Bombyx mori: one gene and its partner. The protein of the gene in region 1 interacts with the protein of each later gene in a pairwise test. Links are inferred from orthologs where the notes say so. Each region holds a gene or a part of one and is shown on either strand. Other genes may lie near its edges.

Region 1 (3,517 bases):
GCATTTCTTTGAAATTTCATCCTACCCTCACTTTTTGCGGTCTACAAGAAAAGCTTGATCTGTTGTTGCGGTGTTTTTAGGTAAGCCCGCCCTTTGTAGTCCGTCTGCGTCCAGTTCTGACTGTGCCCCGAAAACGCCATGTTCACCGACGCCGACGGCCACAGCGCTCCTGCCCTGCAAGTCGATTCCGAAAGTCAAGAAGATCATATACGACATAACGGAGAACGACGATTTCGATAGAGAATTGATACCGACGTACGAGGAGGTCGCCCGGCTGTACCCGAGGCCGGGTCTGGTACGCCCGATCGTGTTGATCGGAGCGCCCGGCGTCGGCAGAAACGAACTGAGACGGAGGCTCGTCGCTACGGACCCGGAGAAGTACATCACTCCGATACCGTGTAAGTTTTTATTTTTTATTGCTTAAGATGGGTGGACGAGCTCACAGCCCACCTGTTGTTAAGTGGTTACTGGAGCCCATAGACAGCTACAGCGTAAATGCGCCACCCACCTTGAGACATAAGTTCTAAGGTCTCAGTATAGTTACAATGGCTCCCACCCTTCAAACCGAAACGCATTACTGCTTCACGACAGAAATAGGCGGGGTGGTGGTACGAACAATATTATTATCAAATTTACTTTAAAAAAAACATCTATACTGATATTATTATCATAAATGTCATAAATCATAAACTAAAAAAATCATATCCTTCGTGCATTTGTATGTTCGGTACTCGGCCACGCAAATGTCTGAAAAAAGTTAAATGAAATCTATACTTTAATCTATAAATCTACAATGGTTTTTACGGATGTTCCGTTATAACTATTGAACAGTGCATCCGATTGATTTGAAACTTGGTTTCCATGTAGAAAATACATGTACTTAATGAATAGGCTAATATTTATATGAGTGTTGGACTCCCTAATAATAATGACAATAAATAATAATGTTAATTTTAAATACCCAGCGAAGCGGGCGAGTACGGCTAGTTTATGGACCAGTATCCAGACTAAGGCGCGCTAATAAATTCATAAAAGAAATCTTTGTTCACGAGATTTGCTAATCTGTAAATAAATTTTAAACATTACAGATACGTCGCGTCCTATAAAATCAAGCGAACAGAATGGTAAAGATTACGTGTTCGTAACTCGGGAAAAAATGGAACAGGATATAACCGATGGGAAATTCATAGAGCATGGTGAATACAAGGGCAATCTTTATGGGACCGCTGCCGAAAGCGTCGAGACTATTATTAATACTGGTAAAAAAAAACTTGATAAATTAATAATATACTTGCTGTGAAATAAGCATTTTTTGTTTAAATTTATAAATATTAATTTGCATTTATGCATGTTCATGTTTAAGTATAGTTAACCAGCAATGCACAGCGAATGCTTCTAGCGGTCATTCACCTGCGTCGCACAAGCTTGTAGTTTCCGCTCGTTAGCTGATTATTTATATAAATATATCGTCTTACATTACGTACACTGCATGAATCATTAGTTTAATACAAAATTTATCATTGGATTTTTTAATGTGTTCGAGGATTTGTCAGCCAGCCAATTTTGACATCTGGTAACATGTAGCTGCTTTTTTAATCTAATCTTATTTCTCGTTTACTTTTTGGAATTTTTTTTTTATTGCTTATATGGGCGGACGATCTCACAGCCCACCTGGTGTTAAGTGGTTACTGGAGCCCATAGACATCTACAACGTCACCTCATGTGAGACTGCACGGGTGTGGTACCTACCCGTGCGGTCTCACATGAGGTCCTACCACCAGTAAGAAGATGATGATGACTTTTATTCACATACACATAAAAATAAAACACGTGCTACGTATTGAATGAAGGAAATCGATATAGATTTTTTTAATGCTTAGATGGGTGGAAATATTGATCTGGTAATGAAGACCTTTAAGTCATGTCTTATTTTAATTTATATTCTTATTTTTATGAAAAATTATATTATGAAATGGAATAAATGAAATCAGATGAGATGATATGGGATGAAATATAATCTCAGTAAAATGGTGGTCATTTACGGAGATTTTTTCAGTGGACTTTTTGGAGGATCCCGAGAAGCTACGTTCAGCGGCTTTGTTTCATTTTCCCACATTTGTGCACTTTCAGAGATATTAAACAGTTAAATAAACCACCGTTATTACACATTTAAACCTGAAGAAACACTAAATAGACAAAACAAAACAAATCACACAATTACACTCCTCGCGTTTCCGCCAAAAAGTCCAAATATAACTTCGATAAATTAATTAGGAAGTACCCTCGTGAACTTATTCTGGAAATTGTTCTCTTCAGGTCGTGTGTGTGTGTTGAGTCCGCATTGGCAGGCCCTAAAGATGCTTCGAACTCCGCGCCTGCGTCCCTACATCGTGTTCATTAAGCCTCCGTCCTTGGAGAGGATGGTCGAAACGCGGACTGCGGCAAACGCGCGTTCCACATTCGATAAGGAATCATCCAGAGCATTCACGGTATGTGACGCTAATAACAGACGCATGTATAGTCCTAATTCAAACATTTATATGTAATTGCAAACTAAAAATAAAGAAAAATATACCCTACAGCATATAGTATGTAAATTGATGGTTAGCAAAGATATTGTCGACGACTTAGTTTAAATCATAATAATAATACCTTTATTTTCCGAACATTTTACATTTTAAACTAACAATTTCAAGTAGACTAAAAAAAACGGAAAAAAGCAATATATTATATGAAAACAAAATATAAGATTAAAATCTACACTTCCACTATAAAATGTCTCGTGTCGGTGTGCCTCTGCCAAGGCTTCCTCCAACTCTTTCCACTGCTTTCTGTCTCTTGCTACTCTTATCCAAAGGGGTCCAGTGGTAATTTTTAGTTCATCCTCCCATCTTCTTGGTTTGCGACCTCGGCTTCTCACACCATCCTCATCCTTCTCACACCTCGGGTACCATACTGTCACCTGTACGCTCCATTTTTCCTTTTTGCAGCAGACCATACATATTAATATGATCTATCGATTAAATTTTTTAATTATACAATCATGCAAAAATATGCTTTATTTCTTTGCGTGTCCCCGTCTGCAATACCGTCGAGATATGAGTTCTAAGGTCTCAGTATAGTTACAACGGCTGCTCCACCCTTCAAACCGAAACGACTTACTGCTTCACGGCAAAAATAGGCAGGGTGGGTGGTACCTACCGGTGCGGACTCACAAGAGGTCCTACCACCAATAATTACGCGCATTATAATTTTGCGGGTTTGATTTTTATTACATTTTTTTTTATTGCTTAAGATGGATGGACGAGCTCACAGCCCACCTAGTTACTGGAGTCCATAGACATCTACAACGTAAATGCGCCACCCACCTTGAGATATAAGTTCTAAGATCTCAGTATAGTTACAACTGTTATATATAGTTATTATTCCTTCACCGTGGAAGTCAATCGTGAACATTTGTTAAGTACGTATTTCATTAGAAAAATTGGTACCCGCCTGTGATTCGAACACCGGTGCA
Region 2 (3,602 bases), on another chromosome or scaffold:
ACACACCTCACAAGTTCCTTAGTTGTATTATGGTGTTTAAGGTAGAATTTAACCTATCAAAATTCTCTTTTATATTTTTTTTATTGCTCTTGTAGAACGATGTATACGTACCACGAAGATGGCGATGGACATAAGCAATACCAGGGGCAGAGCCAAGCCACAATAGCATTGATGGAAAGTTAACCTTAAATTGCAATTGATGGAAATGAATGACTTGAATTCATAGTGTGTAACCACCTTTTAAAACTATTTGTAAGTCTCACTTGCATTGAAATAATCACTTTTCCATTATTTTAGCCAGAATTCATAATGTCAGAATTCAATAGGATATACAAAGCTGTACGAGCTATTTTATTTACACATTCTGAATCTCAATTAAGCCTTGTTTTCATTGATTTAAAACGAAGCCACATGACTTAATAGATGATCATTGTCAATAGTGACTATTGTCAATAATGTACAACAGCAGTTTTAGTAACAGCTCTATGTAAAAAGATTGTTTATCAAAAGAAAGTGTCTTACTACTTATGAAACACTGTTTTCATAAGTTAATTCCAAAACTAGGTATAGTAGGTACCTACGTATCTTTAATGATTTCAATAAAACTCATCAGCTGTTTCGTCACTTGACACAATTGTTGTTTAAGAAAGCAATCATAATCAGGAGGAATAATTTACTTAGAGCTTATACATGCTAAAACCTTGAATTACCGAAGAAACTTTAAGCATTATCAATTAAATAATTAACTTATGACCCAAATGACAGTGATAAACTTTATCAAACGAAAGTAAACATGTCAAGTATATTATAATGTACCATGTAAATTCACTAGAAGATTCGGCAAGGAATCAAATGCAAATTCAAAGTTATTTTTAGGAGAACACGTCATAGGGCATTCAATTTGGAGTACACAAACAGGTTATGATAACATGAACTCACCTAGGTCATCCATATTTTCTTCAGACTTAAGATTAAGTTTTTCACTACACTAACACAAATAACAAATGGCACAGTTGCACAGCTAAATATGTATAAATGAGCAAGAAATTACTTGTTAATACTGTTCGTGGATAGACGAATCAAACATGTTTTTATTGAATTGTAAATAATAAAATTCTTAGTCGCTATATAATTGACAACTGACATTTTGACATTTTTCCGTTTCATGTTCTGTTTTAGTTTTATCCAATTTTATAGGTAAAGGAAAGGAAAAGAAAACCGATGGTTGGGCTGCAATAAGTTAGTGGGTGCCAGGTTTCATGAGCGGACACTGATGGAGCATCAGTAGTAATTATATGATGAATTTGACTTTTTAAACTTATCATGGAACACTTGATGTGATTCAAGTCCAAAACTTCACAAACTAATTTGAGTAAAAGTGACTTTATTGTTAACTCTCTCATATTCCTATTTCCCTGGCAGTTAAACAGAATTGTTTGAGATGAAGAGTAAGCCTACTTTCCAATCTCGGATAGTACTAACATCCTGCGGAGGAATTCGGTACCCACTTGAAAATAAGTTGGTCGTGAGTTCTTTAACCTGTCTATACAATTTAAAAATTATATAAGTTGAAAACCGTTTAATCTTGGCTGTCTTGGTAAGTGCAGTGATGTTTTTTGTGGAAGGCATATGTTCATCAAGTATAACAGATACCTAGTTATCGTCAGTCATTCTCTTATTTGTGTATCTCAGTGATAATTTCTGTCCGTTATTGTACAGATTTTTTGAACATACAATCCAATCCCCAGAAATATCCTACACACTTAAAAATATAGTCCAATCCTTTTATTTCTTAACACCATAGATACCTAGTACTCTTCTTATTTTTTTAAGTGTATCATCTATATTTTACTCTTTGAATTCAATTGATTTGATTTAGTCACTGAATCACTGATTTCTACATAAATTTATTATTCTCTAAAAGTATATTTCGTGTTAATTTATACTCACAATTTTGTGTATACTACTTTAGTTTCAAAAAGTGTTCAAAATGACTACCACTGGCGAACAGTTAACGTTAGCTAGGGATATAAAACGTGCCATTGAATTACTCGAGAAACTGCAACAGAGTGGCGAAGTCCCTGCAACGAAATTAGCTGCTCTCCAGAAAGTTTTGCAGAGCGACTTTCTAAATGCCGTAAGAGAGGTTTACGAGCACGTCTACGAGACTGTAGACATACAAGGCTCCGCAGACATAAGAGCTTCCGCAACTGCAAAGGCAACGGTGGCCGCATTTGCTGCTGCAGAAGGACACGCTCACCCTCGAGTAGTGGAACTGCCGAAAACTGAGGAAGGCTTAGGGTTCAACGTAATGGGCGGAAAAGAACAAAATTCTCCGATTTATATATCTAGGATAATACCGGGCGGAGTTGCTGACAGACATGGTGGCTTGAAGAGGGGTGATCAACTTTTATCCGTTAACGGAGTCTCAGTTGAAGGCGAGAATCACGAGAAAGCCGTAGAACTTCTGAAGCAAGCCGTGGGATCCGTAAAATTAGTTGTCAGGTACACACCAAAGGTCTTGGAGGAAATGGAGATGAGATTCGACAAGCAAAGAACTACACGGCGACGCCAAAACTACAACTAAAATTTTTCACCGGCTTTGCAGTCATTTATCAAACAAAGTGTATTAATGTACCTGTTATTTTTATCCTATGTTTTAATGAGGAACTTTGATAATCTTTAAGGCATTGTAAAACTTTATTTAATTTTATAAAAACCTATATTACTTTTACACCCAATCAGTTGGCAGTTGGAGACCATGGCTATTAAAAATTGGGAACTATTCAAGTATTGAAAAATATTCAATCTGCTATTTATTTATATATTAAATGAAAACTTTGTTAGTGTGAATTTAATTATAAAGTTTTCTTCTATTTAAATCTAAACGGTGTTTTAAAGAAATTTCCTTTTATTTACACATGTTTAAAATACTTAACAATTAATTACTAATTAAAATACTTAAATAAACGAAATGAATGTATTGTAGATGTATTATAAGTTTTTGCACATGTTATGAATGTTTATTGTATGTACTTAATTTAGTTTTTAAGTTAATATTAAAATATAATTGAGGCTGTACCAGATTTATTGTCAACAATTGTGATTTCTACAAATGTAGTCAACCTCAATAATCATAGAAGTGCCCTCGACAGAACAATTAAAGAAAAGAAAGTATTTATGACTCAAACTGAATAGATGTACAAACAGATTGTAACTGCACCTTGTTAATTACCACTATTCTGTCTATTTCTACCATGAGTAAATTATTACTTAGATTTATGGATGAGCTCTCGGCCCACCTTGTTTTATGTGGCTACTGGAGCCTGTAGACATTTACGTCTCACTTTTAACAGTATAACAGCTGCCCCATCATACAAACCGAAATGCATTAATGCTTGACAGTAACAACAGGCAGGGTGGTGGTACCTACCTGTGCAGACTTACAAGACGTCTTACCACCAGTGATTATGTAAATTATAATTTTGCAGGTTTGATTCTTATTACACGATGCTATTACTTCACTGTGGAAGTCAATCGTGAACATTTGTTAAGTACCTATTTTAGCGGCATCTGCTTGTGGGATTCAAACACTGATGCAT

The links.
Region 2: the proteins of MAGUK p55 subfamily member 7 (region 1) and protein lin-7 homolog C interact in a two-hybrid assay, tested with the Drosophila melanogaster proteins (2 studies listed by BioGRID). The link is inferred for Bombyx mori from reciprocal best matches to the Drosophila melanogaster genes metro and veli.

What each region holds. Positions count from the first base shown.
Region 1 is NC_085107.1:10,946,296-10,949,812, forward strand, and holds part of MAGUK p55 subfamily member 7, read left to right. Parts: intron 1-80; coding exon 81-398; intron 399-1,088; coding exon 1,089-1,259; intron 1,260-2,316; coding exon 2,317-2,489; intron 2,490-3,517.
Region 2 is NC_085116.1:14,601,494-14,605,095, reverse strand, and holds protein lin-7 homolog C, read left to right. Parts: upstream 1-1,219; 5' UTR 1,220-1,990; coding exon 1,991-2,587; 3' UTR 2,588-3,086; downstream 3,087-3,602.